2 linked regions of the Astyanax mexicanus genome follow. The protein of the gene in region 2 interacts with the protein of the main gene of each other region in a biochemical or structural test. Links are inferred from orthologs where the notes say so. Each region holds a gene or a part of one and is shown on either strand. Other genes may lie near its edges.

The links. The genes of interacting proteins can lie anywhere in the genome.
Region 1: the proteins of shank1 (region 2) and wwtr1 interact in a test that uses a peptide from one of them, tested with the Homo sapiens proteins (2 studies listed by IntAct, with this or other methods). The link is inferred for Astyanax mexicanus from reciprocal best matches to the Homo sapiens genes SHANK1 and WWTR1.

What each region holds. Positions count from the first base shown.
Region 1 is NC_064423.1:915,686-923,716, forward strand, and holds the start of wwtr1 (WW domain-containing transcription regulator protein 1), read right to left. Parts: upstream 3,128-8,031; 5' UTR 2,861-3,127; coding exon 2,448-2,860; intron 1-2,447. UniProt on the Homo sapiens protein: Transcriptional coactivator which acts as a downstream regulatory target in the Hippo signaling pathway that plays a pivotal role in organ size control and tumor suppression by restricting proliferation and promoting apoptosis.
Region 2 is NC_064426.1:18,967,708-18,975,733, forward strand, and holds the start of shank1 (SH3 and multiple ankyrin repeat domains protein 1), read right to left. Parts: upstream 3,474-8,026; 5' UTR 3,094-3,473; intron 1-3,093. UniProt on the Homo sapiens protein: Seems to be an adapter protein in the postsynaptic density (PSD) of excitatory synapses that interconnects receptors of the postsynaptic membrane including NMDA-type and metabotropic glutamate receptors via complexes with GKAP/PSD-95 and Homer, respectively, and the actin-based cytoskeleton.

The DNA.
Region 1 (8,031 bases), on a different chromosome or scaffold from region 2:
TAAAACTATAAAAATACAGTTTATAGTCTCCTATATGACCATAACCTTTTAACAGTTAAAAAATTGGATCATAGAAACCTATACCACTTGTTCTTGAAAATGTTTTATGGGGTGGTCTGAACAAATACTGCCTGAAAGGTCCAAATTATTATGTGGAATTAATAGTTCATTAAAACCGATTTAATTTATTATTTGTTGTACTTTTTTACATCACATACTTAAAAGTAACTATGTAACTTTTACTCAAAGTACCTTTTTAAATTGAGTACCTTTTTACTTTTACTTGAGTAGAAGTTTAGCAAAGTAAATGTACTTTTACTTAATTACAATTCTTCAGTACTTTTTCACCTCTGATAATGCACAGTATTGATCTTTTGTCCTAATACTGTATACTTTTAAAGCCGCTTTGTTACAGTGTTAGTTGTAAACACAAATAAATGCTATATAAATCTATTTGATCTGATTCTATCTGACATGCCTACCTGACCAGAAATCAGCAAGAAACTACAACAACACCAAAGGACAAAAGAACGTTAAGGTAGTTTCATTCAACTTAGAAACTCACCAAACTGAACCCACCAGCTGCCTTACTGCAGTGATAGAGGCTTTGAGTGAAACTTCTACCAGATTTAATAGTTTACTGTTTCATGAAAAAACAGTCTCCAGTCTCATGAGAACTGGAAATCGGAAATCACGTCATCGGAAATAATCGGAATTTGAGGTCCTTAGGTTGTTGCGTGGGCACACCACAGATCTTCAATCAAACTTATAGCTGACATGAGTGTATATTATTTATTACTACTGTTTCAATCCTAAACATCACCCATCATTCTCCCCTGGAGAAAGAAGGGGAGATTTGGGGCAACTGTGTTAACAACACTAGTGAAACCTAAATGTGGAACAGCTGACTATGTGTGGCAAATTACAATGCAAAGTAAATCACAGTACAGCACTTCTGAGCTTTTCAGTTGCCAGCAATGGTTAGATGACAAAATCAACAATGTTGATTATAAGAATTTCACATTTCAAATCTCAACTAATTTGTAACAAATGCACTATACAAAATACTGGGGACAGGAACACAAAAACACGGGGAGGTTAAGTGCTGCTCACTCACTTGGTTCACACTTAGTTTAGTCACCAAAAGTGACTTAACACAACAGATTACATACATAGTGAGTAAACATCAAAACTTTTCATCTTTAAACATCATCTGAACATTTAAAGAGCATCTAAATCCCACATTCAGCGGTTTCTATTGTTTTGAAGTGATAGAGAAAGCAAGGAACAGGAGCCGTACCCACAGGAAGCAGAGATGAATGGGGCAGCAGAAATAATCGTTTACTATTTGAGTAATCTGAAAAATAATTGACTGATTATTCAACCACTAAAATAATCATTAGTTGTAACCCTATTAACCACAAAAGTGAGGCAGACCTAAATGGAACAGGTCTTCTACATGTGGCAGCAGCAAGGATGGTCAAATTACATTTTAGTTATGAAGTAAATCACTGTAAATCACTGTACAGTTCTCCTGAGGTTTTGTTTTTAGGCCCCACAGGTTGCCAAATCTCTCCCCCCCTAAGCTGCTAGAACTCATTAAGCTGTTGCTAAGGCTCAAGTTTCCAATCACACAACAGTAGCCAGATAGCAAAAGTATGCTGAATCAACGTTCATATTTCAATTTTATTTCAGATAGACTTGCTTCTATCTTAAATGTGGCAGTGATTTTTTTACGAATCTAAAGGAAACAATAGCTTTCTTTTGTGTCACCTTACATGGTGCTGCCTGTTTACAAACAAAAAAACTAAATTATCTAAGAACTTTTTTTTTTACAATATCACCCAGCCCTAATTCAACGTTATGATTCTAAATCTGTTGTTCGTGTTAAACTTTACTTAAATCTACACTGCAGAGCAGAAAGGGACATTTTGCCTAAATGCATTTAACACTGGGCTAATTGTGAGTGTAGAAGAGCTCAGCCCAAACCCTACAAAACTTTAGCTGTTAAAATGAACGTTCCCTCAACGTCAGAATTCCAACACTACCCAACCTGTTGTTGAAGCCTATGGTGCAAACGTAAACAAAAGGTTGTTTTAATGTTGTTTTTCCATCATCAGCACTAGAAGTTGAGATGCGAACGTTTTTACTAAACGTTCTTTGTGTTTAAGTCTGAAATTACTTGAGATAAAATACTTTTCTATTATTTTTACTGCTGAAGTGTAGAAAGGTGCATTTAAGTAGCAACAATTATATTATTAATAGTAGCTTAGTGTGAGTGTAGAAAAACTAGCTAACCTATTGATGATGTTGAATAAACCTATTGATGAAAGTTAAATAAAGTTTGTTTAAATGTAGTTATCCATGATCAACTCATCAAGCTGTAATGCAAACAAAGATTTAACGTCTATTTAACGTTCTTTGCCTATCAGTTAAGCTGTACTTACTTGAGAAAGTATTTCTGGCCGTTGGAAGTGAAGGCCATCTCCCAGCCGGGGGGCAGGGGCAGCTCCTCGGTCACATCGAAGGACTGGTGGCGGATGTGGACGTGGTGCGCAGAGGGCGGGACCGCTCCGGTCCCCGTGCCCGGGCCGAGCTGCAGGCTGGCCGGGGAGGAGTGCGAGCGGACGTGCTGCACCGGCAGCCGCGCCGGCCCGCTGCCCGAGTCCGTGCTGGACTGTCGGGAGTGGGAGCCCGAGTCCGGCTCCCTGAAGAAGGACTCGGGCATGTGTTTCTTCCTCCAGGAGCTCGGCCTCGGGTTCATGACCGCGTTAAACAGCGCCTCCAGGTCCGTGTCCGGGTCCTTCGCCACATGGATGACCTGCTGGCCCGGCAGGGGCTGCACCGGGTTGTTGCTCATTTCGCTCGGCGGAACAGAAAAGTTGGGACGGGGGGAACCAAGAAGTGCTGGAGCTCTCTCCTCAAAAACACGACCCGCGCTCTCCCCAGCGGCTAAGCGCTGCTGTGATTTTCTGTCTTTAGTGTAAAAAAGTTTTAACTCAAAACAAAAACACAATAAAACAGTTTTAAATGAGAGTTTGAAGGTTATCCGGCCCGGTCCTCCTGCCCCGCTGTCCCGCTGCTGCTGCTGCTGCTGGAGAATCCGCTCGGTGGAAAGTTTGGAAACTCGAACTTTTTCCTCCCCCCGCGCGCGCGCGCCTGTCAGCTCGCGCTCATGAATATTAATCAGGCCACGCCCGGAATATTAACCACGCGCTTTAAGTCGCTCCAAATCTATTTAGTAACAGAAGGATTAATGAAGTCTAGACTGAAGAGTGTTAGTGTAAGTATATTGTATAAACTTTCTAAGCGTGTAATAAAAAAGTCTGAATAGCCCCAAGCCAACTGCCAAACCTACACCAGTGTCTAGTGAAGAAAATCTGAACAATTTAGACTAAATATTTATTATCTACAGCTAATATAAATGTACTCAAAACAAAAATACAACCATTACAACCAGTACGACACAAAAAACACTGAAAAGATATGTTTTAAGTATTATAAAGATTAACATTGGTAAATAAAAAGGTATAGTAAAAAGAAGATGAATGCATTTGAAACATAAACGAAAAAGTATATTATATTGTTATATAAGTATATTATATATATATTGACAACAGAACAATGTATGACATGACTTGCAGTCAGTGCAGAGGATCCCTTTTACTTGCCGAAGTTTCACCTAGTTTTTTACATAAAAGTAATAATCAGTTTTTAGCACTAGTAGAACTAGAGGGCAACGAGGGTTTTAAAAACATATCGGAAAACATGCCTTATTTGCTGCCCTCTATTGCGTCCTCACGTGTCCTAAAGGATTCGGTGATGTACCAGCCTGAACAGAAGAGCAGAAATCCGCTTCTCTCTGTCTGAAGATGTTATTCTGCCACCTTGTGCTCAGAAATGATGTTCTCAGATCTTCTGTTCCTCCTTAATTTCAGTCAGGTGGTAGATTATGTGACTGTGTATAAAAGTGTAGAATATTGATCTACTGTTTCAGAAAATAAGCACATATAAGACCAATTTTCTTATAATAAAATTCAAATTTTCGCAAAGACCTTTATTTTATACCCCACTGGATGTAAAATTAACAATGGTAATTAATTAATTCGTTAATAAAACTATACAAAATTAATAAAATGAGTAGTAATCAATTGTATTTTTAATTAAACAGTACGAAACTTATTTTTTCTGTCCTAAATAAAAATAATAGTATTGTTTATAATGAAATGTTTAATTAAAACTATTTATTTATATAAAATGTTATTCATTAATTATTATTAAATATTATTATTCAAAATAAATCAAACATTGAATACTAAATAATAACACTAATTCAACAAAGGAGCAAAAAAAAATAAGTTGTTGTTAGGACATTTTAGTGACATTTATAGTAGATCTGTATAGACAAACAGTGCATTAGTAGGTTGTGGGGTTTAATAACAGATAGATGGTACTGTGCTGGTTAGATTAGTAGGTTCTGGGGTTTGATAACAGATGGATTGTTCTGTGCTGGTTAGATTAGTAGGTTCTGGGGTTTAATAACAGATGGATGGAGCTGTGCTGGTTAGATTAGTAGGTTGTGGGGTTTAATAACAGATGGATGGTGCTGTGCTGGTTAGATTAGTAGGTTGTGGGGTTTGATAACAGATGGATGGAGCTGTGCTGGTTAGATTAGTAGATTCTGGGGTTTGATAACAGATGGATGGTGCTGTGCTGGTTAGATTAGTAGATTCTGGGGTTTAATAACAGATGGATGGAGCTGTGCTGGTTAGATTAATAGGTTGTGGGGTTTAATAACAGATGGATGGTGCTGTGCTGGTTAGATTAGTAGGTTGTGGGGTTTAATAACAGATGGATGGTGCTCTGCTGGTTAGATTAGTAGGTTGTGGGGTTTAATAACAGATGGATGGAGCTGTGCTGGTTATATTAGTAGGTTCTGGGGTTTAATAACAGATGGATTGTTCTGTGCTGGTTAGATTAGTAGGTTCTGGGGTTTGATAACAGATGGATGGTGCTGTGCTGGTTAGATTAGTAGGTTCTGGGGTTTGATAACAGATGGATGGAGCTGTGCTGGTTAGATTAGTAGGTTCTGGGGTTTGATAACAAATGGATGGAGATGTGCTGGTTAGATTAGTAGGTTCTGGGGTTTGATAACAAATGGATGGAGCTATGCTGATTAGATTAGTAGGTTCTGGGGTTTGATAACAAATGGATGGAGATGTGCTGGTTAGATTAGTAGTTTCTGGGGTTTGATAAAAGATGGATGGAGCTATGCTGGTTAGATTAGTAGGTTCTGGGGTTTGATAACAGATGGATGGTGCTGTGCTGGTTAGATGAGTAGGTTCTGAGGTTTAATAACAGATGGATGGAGCTGTGCTGGTTAGATTAGTAGGTTGTGGGGTTTAATAACAGATGGATGGAGCTGTGCTGGTTAGATTAGTAGATTCTGGGGTTTAATAACAGATGGATGGAGCTGTGCTGGTTAGATTAGTAGGTTGTGGGGTTTAATAACAGATGGATGGTGCTGTGCTGGTTAGATTAGTAGATTCTGGGGTTTAATAACAGATGGATGGTGCTGTGCTGGTTAGATTAGTAGATTCTGGGGTTTAATAACAGATGGATGGAGCTGTGCTGGTTAGATTAGTAGGTTGTGGGGTTTGATAACAGATGGATGGAGCTGTGCTGGTTAGATTAGTAGATTCTGGGGTTTGATAACAGATGGATGGTGCTGTGCTGGTTAGATTAGTAGATTCTGGGGTTTAATAACAGATAGATGGTACTGTGCTGGTTAGATTAGTAGGTGCTGGGGGTTGATAACAGATGGATGGAGCTGTGCTGGTTAGATTAGTAGGTTCTGGGGGTTGATAACAGATGGATGGAGCTGTGCTGGTTAGATTAGTAGGTTCTGGGGGTTGATAACAGATGGATGGAGCTGTGCTGGTTAGATTAGTAGGTTCTGGGGGTTGATAACAGATGGATGGAGCTGTGCTGGTTAGATTAGTAGGTTCTGGGGGTTGATAACAGATGGATGGAGCTGTGCTGGTTAGATTAGTAGGTTCTGGGGTTTGATAACAGATGGATGGAGCTGTGCTGGTTAGATTAGTAGGTTCTGGGGTTTGATAACAGATGGATGGAGCTGTGCTGGTTAGATTAGTAGGTTGTGGGGTTTGATAACAGATGGATGGTGCTGTACTGGTTAGATTAGTAGGTTGTGGGGTTTAATAACAGATGGATGGTGCTGTGCTGGTTAGATTAATAGGTTCTGGGGTTTGATAACAGATGGATTGTTCTGTGCTGGTTAGATTAGTAGGTTCTGGGGTTTAATAACAGATGGATGGAGCTGTGCTGGTTAGATTAGTAGGTTGTGGGGTTTAATAACAGATGGATGGTGCTGTGCTGGTTAGATTAGTAGGTTGTGGGGTTTGATAACAGATGGATGGAGCTGTGCTGGTTAGATTAGTAGATTCTGGGGTTTGATAACAGATGGATGGTGCTGTGCTGGTTAGATTAGTAGATTCTGGGGTTTAATAACAGATGGATGGAGCTGTGCTGGTTAGATTAATAGGTTGTGGGGTTTAATAACAGATGGATGGTGCTGTGCTGGTTAGATTAGTAGGTTGTGGGGTTTAATAACAGATGGATGGTGCTGTGCTGGTTAGATTAGTAGGTTGTGGGGTTTAATAACAGATGGATGGAGCTGTGCTGGTTATATTAGTAGGTTCTGGGGTTTAATAACAGATGGATTGTTCTGTGCTGGTTAGATTAGTAGGTTCTGGGGTTTGATAACAGATGGATGGTGCTGTGCTGGTTAGATTAGTAGGTTCTGGGGTTTGATAACAGATGGATGGAGCTGTGCTGGTTAGATTAGTAGGTTCTGGGGTTTGATAACAAATGGATGGAGATGTGCTGGTTAGATTAGTAGGTTCTGGGGTTTGATAACAAATGGATGGAGCTATGCTGATTAGATTAGTAGGTTCTGGGGTTTGATAACAAATGGATGGAGATGTGCTGGTTAGATTAGTAGTTTCTGGGGTTTGATAAAAGATGGATGGAGCTATGCTGGTTAGATTAGTAGGTTCTGGGGTTTGATAACAGATGGATGGTGCTGTGCTGGTTAGATGAGTAGGTTCTGAGGTTTAATAACAGATGGATGGAGCTGTGCTGGTTAGATTAGTAGGTTGTGGGGTTTAATAACAGATGGATGGAGCTGTGCTGGTTAGATTAGTAGATTCTGGGGTTTAATAACAGATGGATGGAGCTGTGCTGGTTAGATTAGTAGGTTGTGGGGTTTAATAACAGATGGATGGTGCTGTGCTGGTTAGATTAGTAGATTCTGGGGTTTAATAACAGATGGATGGTGCTGTGCTGGTTAGATTAGTAGATTCTGGGGTTTAATAACAGATGGATGGAGCTGTGCTGGTTAGATTAGTAGGTTGTGGGGTTTGATAACAGATGGATGGAGCTGTGCTGGTTAGATTAGTAGATTCTGGGGTTTGATAACAGATGGATGGTGCTGTGCTGGTTAGATTAGTAGATTCTGGGGTTTAATAACAGATAGATGGTACTGTGCTGGTTAGATTAGTAGGTGCTGGGGGTTGATAACAGATGGATGGAGCTGTGCTGGTTAGATTAGTAGGTTCTGGGGGTTGATAACAGATGGATGGAGCTGTGCTGGTTAGATTAGTAGGTTCTGGGGGTTGATAACAGATGGATGGAGCTGTGCTGGTTAGATTAGTAGGTTCTGGGGGTTGATAACAGATGGATGGAGCTGTGCTGGTTAGATTAGTAGGTTCTGGGGGTTGATAACAGATGGATGGAGCTGTGCTGGTTAGATTAGTAGGTTCTGGGGTTTGATAACAGATGGATGGAGCTGTGCTGGTTAGATTAGTAGGTTCTGGGGTTTGATAACAGATGGCTGGAGCTGTGCTGGTTAGATTAGTAGGTTGTGGGGTTTGATAACAGATGGATGGTGCTGTACTGGTTAGATTAGTAGGTTGTGGGGTTTAATAACAGATGGATGGTGCTGTGCTG
Region 2 (8,026 bases):
TGAGATCCGGTCAAAAGTGTCACAGATACGGGGGCTCCGAGTGGTCTAGAAGGCTAAGCGCTGCCACAATGATAGAGAGAGATTGCTGGTTCGAATCCTGATCATGCAGCTTGCCATCAGCTGCTGGAGCCCTGAGAGAGCACAATTGGCCTTGCTCTCTCTGGGTGAGTTGATGGCGCTCTCTCCTCACATCACTCGAAAGGGTGATGTAGATCAGCACGAGGCGTCTGTGAGCTGATGTATCAGAGCTGAGTTGCTGCTACCAGGAGACTTCAATGCTACGTAATTGATTCCCCAACCAATCACCAGCTTCCATCTGGCTAAAAAAAATATGACTTACACATTCTTTCTGCTGCTTTTAGATGCAAAATTTCATTTTCCCTCCTTTCTTTATCCACCCAATGCCTCGTGGATGATCCGCCTAAGAGGTAAGCTCCACCTTCTATCTGCCATCCATACAGAGCAGGATCTTAATTCTACAAGACGTGAGCTGACAACCTAACTTTTTAATTATTATATTCAATATCTAATTTTGCATTCTATCTCAGGACTCATTCTAGAACTGATTGTTCACTTGCTGCCTAATATATGAACCATTGGCACTGCCATATATTGTCAATGGTCAACTGCTTGCTACTAAAACAGCTCAGTGTGTACTGTGGTATCTGGCACCAAGACATTACAATCCTAGAAGTTGTAAAGTGGATCAACTACAGATCTGATGTGCATCCAGCACCTCCTGCAGGTAAGTGGTGCCTGTGTAACTCATCATCCAGATCCAATTCAGACATATGTGTGTCTGGACAGTAGGGCCTATCATGGGCAATCTGACTGGTCTGCACTGTGTGTTCTTATGTATTCATTCTGTAATCTTCAAAAATCTGCTCTTCTGTTGGTTCCACTTAGATGGAATAGCTTTCATTGCCCTCGTTCAGGTGGTAGATGCTGTGCTTTGCCATCAAATGTGGCATTAGCTACCTGTAGGTCCCATGTATGGAACTTTAGGATTGTTGGAGACCTCTCTTAAAATTGTTTTTCTTGATGTGATTTTATTTCTTCTGACTAAAATCACATGTGTTGGCAAAATTAACAAATTGTATTTAAACCCTTGTTGAGGCCAGACCAAGTACATTGCACCTGCTCATTTTGACTCTTTAGTTGAACGAGTGTTGAGTGTTGGTCACACTATTTGCATATTGGGCATGTCCTCATCTCTCACTCACCAATCATTCTCCACAGGTTGCCATCTTTTCTCCATAAAAGTTGTCAGCAGTAGGAAGCATGAAGTGCTAAAACATTTTCCGGTAAAACGCTGCACTGACTTGATGGACTTGATAGAACACAGTGGACCAACACCAGCAGATGACATGCCTCTCCAAACCATCACTGATCATCAGTAAATTTTACATTTCATTCGTAAATCAAGGAAGCAGAGTCTGGAGGAAGAGTGGAGAGACACACAGTCCAAACTGCTTGAGGTCTAGTGTGAAGTTTCCACAATCAGTGATGGTTTGGAGAGACATGTCATCTGCTGGTGTTGGTCCAATTTTTTTTACAAGACTTTTTAATCTATCTACTCAGTTTCCCAATCTAGCATCCTATAAATACACAATACTTGCTTACATGATCATGGCAAGTCCTCAAAACCCTCCATCTCCTCCCATTAACTCTTAGTTATCTCTCCTTCCTGACTCAACTCCACTTATTAGAGGTGGGGACTGGCTTCCTACAACAAGCATAAGCTGCCTGAATTCCAGACCAAAGTACTGCATTCTCTTCCCTCTCGTCATTCTCCTCCCAATTAATAGGACATGCAAATGTAATTTAGCCCCGCCCTTTCATGCTGAAGTAATAATGCAAGACACAATTCAAAACAATTAGCCATGCATCACACTATACAAAAAAGTACAAAACTATGTGGAAACCGGCTCATTGTTCATTGTCTTTTTTTTTCTTTCTAAAATCATGGGTATTAATCGAGTAATTGAGTAGTAATTGAGTCTATTACTGTACATAGAAGACTTTTGCCTTTTTTACTAAATTTTGAGGAATTGCTGTTTGAGGATCTGATTGCTTTCAGCGATGTTCAGAGCGATGTTCAGAGCCTCATCTCTAACCACAGCTTATCCCCCCTCAACCCAACTCATCCCAACAGTACTGTATTGGGCGAAGCACCATCATTATCTCAAGGAAGCTAGGCAGCTTTTTCTACACCCCTTTAGCCTACACCTGGCATTAGGCATGGCGCTAACGGGTTCATGTGTATCTCCTCCACACCTGGGTAACTTTCATTAGTTGGAGTAGCTGAATGCATTTGTTAGAAGGCGTGTCCAGAAATATGTGGACGCACTGTATAGTGTAGAAGTTGAAGCTGTTGGAGTGGATCAGAGTGTGTGTGAGGCAGACTGGTGGAATGTATTTGAGCATGTGTGTGTGTGTGTGTGTGTGTGAGGGCTGCCGTGCTAATAGATCAGTCAGTGGGTGTTGCTGGGTGAGTGAGTCTACACGCTTGCCAGTGTGTGGTTGGGTGGGAGTGCGTTCGCAAGAGTGACAGAAGAGACTGCATCTCTCTCTCTCTCTTTCTCTCTCTCCTTCTTCCTGCTTTCCTGTGTGTGTATGTGTATGTGTAAGCTTGTGTGTGTGTGTGTACCACCATTTTACACTCACACATACAGAGACCAGATACACACACCCATTGCTTGTGCATCTTTCCACCTAGTTAATTGAAGATCTGTGAGCATCCCTTCTTCTTTGGGTTCAAAGGTAAACATCTGTACATCTGTACAGTAAAACACTCTCCACATGTGTGTTCAGCTCACCTGCTGCTCTGCAGAGGCAAAACACACACACACACACACACCAAGAGAAACAGGGGAAGTACTCAAAGACCAATCAGGTTTCTGCAGCCACTTTCAAGAGCCTCGACCGGTTTCCTCCCTTTCAATATCTTGATGCTTTCAATGCTTGAGTCCACACACTTCCAGCCACATTTTCGTGTGTGTGTACATCTCTCTCTCTCTCTCTCTCTCTCTCTCTCTCTCTCACACACACACACATTCACACACTCGCTGCAATACAGCCAAGCTTACTTACTGTCTTGCTGCAGCAGAGAATCGTCTATGTTCACAAATCCCTCCTTTCCGAGAGACAGCACAAGGCGAAGGACAGAAAAAAAAAATCCGGCAGCAGCAGCAGGAAAAAAAAGGAAGAAAAATAAAAAAGGTAGAGAGACACTAAAAGAGAGAGTGGAGAGAGACTGGAGAACAGATAAAACAAAAAAAAGAAGGGAAGGGAGGAAAAAGGAAATGGATGAAAGGAAGTCGCCGCGGCAACAATGGGAGCTCTGCAAATTACATCTTAGTGACAGTCCAGAGAGCGAGGGATGGATATTATCCTCCACTGGCGGTCAGCGATCCAGTGGCCGTGGCTATAGTAACACTTCTATCTCTCTCTCTCTCTCTCGCACGCTCGCTCTCTCTCTCCTCCCCTCCTTCCCTCCCTCTCTCTCTCTCTCAATCGTTCAAACAGCCCTGATCTCTCAGTCTCTCTAAGCTGGTTGGCTGCTTCGGCTCTCCTCTCATCCGTTCGCTCCCTCTATCGCTCGCTCGCTCGCTCACTCTCCCGCCTGCCCGCCCCTCCTCTTCTTCCTCCTCCTCCTCCTCCTCCTCCAGTCCTCTCTCTCTTTCTCTCCCTGCCTCCCTCTCTTCCTCCCTTGCACTCTTTCTCTATCTTTCTCTGTATCCACTCTGCCAGAGCTTCAATGCAAGGCAAAGCTCCCTCTCTTTCTCTCTCTCTTTTCTCGCTCGCTTCTTCTCTCTGTCTTTGATGTTTTATGGAGTTGAGACTCCAGGCTGTGGAGGGGAAATGTTGTCTCTCACAGAGCTGAGAGAAAGAGAGAGAGAGAGAGAAAGAAAGAGATAGAGAGAGAGTGCAGCAGGCTGGATGCGCTCCACGCCCAGGCTGAGCGAGAAGGCAGAATAAATGCTTTTACAATTCATTCCAGAGAACACTGATAGAAACAGACAGAAATAAAGAGAAATAAAGAGAAACATACCCTCACACACATACTCACACTCACACACCTACACACTGTGGGAATCTGCAGATGAAGCCTCATTATGAATTCAAGTCTAATTAATATGGAGGGTTCAAAAAAAGAGAGAAAGAGAGAGAGAGGGGATTTAATGTGAGAAAAGAGGGAGAAAGAGTTAAAGAAGAAGGAGAGATAGAGAGAGAGTTTATTTAATAGGATCCCTTTATCCACTCTTTCACTCATTTGCTTTCTTCACTGCTCAGACTTGATTCTCAACCCATTTTCTCTCTCTTTTCTCTTATTAAATCTTCTCTCCTTGTCTTCTCTTTCTCTTTAACTCTCTTTAACCCTGCCTCTATTGTGCTCTCTCGTCCACCTTTTTTCTTTCTTCCTCTGATCACTTCATCCACTATCTTACTCCTTAGCTTTTTTCACTGCTCAGACTTGTTCCTCAACCCATTTTCTCTCTGTTTTCTCCTATTAAATAAACAAATGAGTGAAAGAGTGGATAAAGGGATCAGAGAAAGTGTGAGATAAGAAGGAAGGGAGAGCAGAATAGAGGCACTGGAAAAGAGTTAAAGAGAAAGAGAAGACACTTAGGAGAGAGAAATGGTTTAGTATGAGAAAAGAGAGCGAAAGAGTTAAAGAGGGAAAAGAGAAAGAGAAGACAAGGAGAGAGAAAAAGAGAAAGAGATGTATTTTGAAAAAAAGAGAGAAAATGGGTTAAGAAAACAAGTCTGAGCAGTGAAGAAAGCAAAGGAGTGAGAGAGTGGAAGAAGGGATCAGAGGTGAAAAGAGTGAAAAAAGGTGGAAGGGAGAGCAGAATAGAGGCAGAAAAGAGTTAAAGAAAAAGAGAAGACAAGGAGGAGAGAGTATTTAATATGAGAAAAGAAAGAAAAATAGGTTAAGAGAAACAAGTCTGAGTAGAGAAGAAAGCAAAGGAGTGGATGAAGTGATTACAGTAGAAAAAGAGTAAGAAAAGCAGGAAGGAAGAGCAGAATGAAGGCAGAGGAAAAGAGTTAAAGACAAGGAGAAGACTGTACCAGTAACAAAAGAACATTAGGACAGAAAACAGAGAGAAAGAAAGAGAGGAGATGGAGGATGAAAAAAACGAGAGGGAACATTGTGTGGGACACAGAATGATGGACAGAAAGTAGAAAGAGGAGAGAAAAAAAGGATAAGAGACATGGATTGAAGAGAGAGCGAGTGAGGAAGAGAAAGAAACAGGGAGAACAGCAGAGGAATCACCAGCAGAAGAGACAGAAAGATGAAAGAGAATAAAAAAGAGGGAAAGATGAGAAAGGATTGTGATAGTGTGACAGAAAGAAAGAAAACAGAAAGATAGAGGACAAAAAACACAAGTGAGAAAGGAGGAGAAGAGAAGTGAGAGTATAGAGAGAGAATAGAGAGAGTGCTCCAGGTTAAAGCCAGTAAAAATGCTTTAACAACTCATTTCAGAAAAACACTGATAGAAAGAGAGAGAGATAGAGAGAAACACACATAGTGTGGGAATCTGCAGATAAAGCTTCATTATGAAGTATGTAATCTATATACAGGGTTCAGAGAGAGAGAGAGAGAGAGAGAGAATTTAATACGAGAAAAGAGAGAGAGGATTTAATAGGAGAAAAGAGAAGAAAAGTGGGTAAGGAGAGACAAGTCTGAGCAGTAAAGACGGCAAAGAAAAGAGAGAGCAAAGAAAGGGATCAGAGGAAGAGTGAGAAAAGGAGGAAGGGAGAGCAGAATAGAGGCAGGTGAAAAGTATTAATGAAAAGAATGATACGGAGAAAATTAAACAGGATTTAATAAGAGAAAAGAGAGAGAAAGTGGGTAAGGAGAGACGATACTGAGCAGGGTGAGAGAGTGGAGAAAGAGATCAGAGAGTAAGAAATAAATAGAGGAAGAGAGAGCAAAATGGATGCAGGGGAAAAGAGTTAAAAAATAAATAGAAGACAAGAAGAGAGAGAGAGATGGAGGAGGAAACTAGAAGAGAGAATATTGAGTTGGGCATAGAATGAGAGAATAGATGTGGAATGAAGAGACATTGAGTGAGAAAAAGAAAGAAACAAAAAGACCGTTTGGTTTAGAAATAGTAACATCTAACCTACAGCTGATAGTGAGTACAGTTGATAACATTATTCAGGTATCTTTTTCCTCCATCACGGATATTTATATCATGTGCTGCATTTGCTACCAGATTTGTGGATCACCCCACCCATCATTTACACTTTTTTTTATTAGTGCTATCTAAGAGAAGGTACAAGAGCATCTGAGCCATCACTGACAGGCATTGTAACAGCTTCTGCCCACAGACCATCACACTTCTCAACAGACCAGGCCACATCTAGCCTGGATACAAGATGAGATATGATTGGGCATGGAGGCATTCAGGTTCTGAGATGTTGCAGCTGGGCTTGTAGATGCTGCACAAAGCTCTCGTTGCATCATCAGCTGTGCCAGTGTGTCCCTGTGTGCACAACCCAAAAGAAGCCTCTGAGAGCCTTTTTGTAGGGTAGTAAGTGAAAGATTTTAGATCCTCTCATGGCGAGACCCAGTGCCTAATCAGACCACACCTGCGTTTTTTTGTTTTTATATCAGTGAGAGTATGTTATAATCAGACTGCATGTATTTATGTCTTAACACATTACATAACTCCACACCTTATCCTCACCACACACATTCAGTAAAGAGTGCTGTGTCTGCGCTGCACTGTCCCATCTGTTTACTGTGCCCACTGTCTGCTGTATTTATAGTATTTATATTTTTATTGTATTGTTCTAGCATATGTTTGAATGTTTGATTTCATGTCGTTTGTAACGATTTTTTTGTTCTTGTTGCACCACGATCCTGATGAAATGGAATTTCACTCCACTTTGTTCCTGTACAGAGTGAGATAAAGAACTAAGATAGATATACTAAGAGAGAGAGAGAGAGAGAGAGAGAGAGAGAGAGAGAGCTGAGAGAAAGACAATGAGAGGAAAGAGAGAAAGGGGGAGTGGAGTGAGAGAGAGAAGGGGAGCTGTAAGATGGAGAGCTTGGAGATAAAGAATGAAAATACAGAGACAGCATTAAAGAGAAAGAGCAGTAAACGAGAGCTGAAAGATAAAGGATGAGACAGCAAGAAAGAGAGATGAATGAGAGAGCAGGACAGTTGTGAGATGAGAAATTAGAGCAGAAGAGAAAGAGAAAGATCGGTATAAAGAATTGGGAGACGAAGGATGAGAAAGAGACAGCAAGAAACAGATAGATAAGGAATGAGAGAGCAAGAGAGCTGGGAGATGAGAAATGAAAGCAGGAGAGAAAGAGAAAGAGAGGTGAAGGATGAGAGAAGGACAGCAAGAAAGAGAGAGAAAGAGAGCTGGGAGAAGAGAAATGAGCGCGAGAGAGAGAACGTGAAATGAAAAATGAGAGAGCAAGAGAGCTGGGAAATGAGAAATGAGAGAGGAAGAGCAGTAAAAACAGCTAAGAGATGAAGGAAGACTGAGCAGTAAAAGATATGAGAAATGACAGAGAGAGCAGTAAATGAGAGCTGATAAATGAAGGATGAGAGAGAGAGCTATAGGGCGAGCAGTAAAAAAAAAAGCTGGGACAGGAAGTAAGAGAGAGCGAGACAGCTGAAGGATGAGAAAAAGAGAGCTAGAAAATGAGATGTAAGAGATGAAACGAGAGCTGAGAGATGAAGTATGAGAGAAGTGAAAGAGAAGTAAAAAAGAGCTGATAGAGACAGGATGAGAGAAAGAGAAAAGGAGCAGAAAAGAAGAATTGAGAGATGAAAGATGAGAAACAGAGAAACACAAAGAGCAGTAAACAAGAGCTGAGAGAAAACAGTAAATAAAAGTTGGTAGATGAAGAATGAGAGAGAGAGCTATAGAGAAAGCAGCAAACGAGAGCTGGGAGATGAAAAATGAGAGAAAGAGAGAGAGAGAGAGAGACAGAGAGAGCTGAAGGATGAGAGAGAGAGCTATAGAGAGAGCAGTAAATGAGAGCTGGAAGACA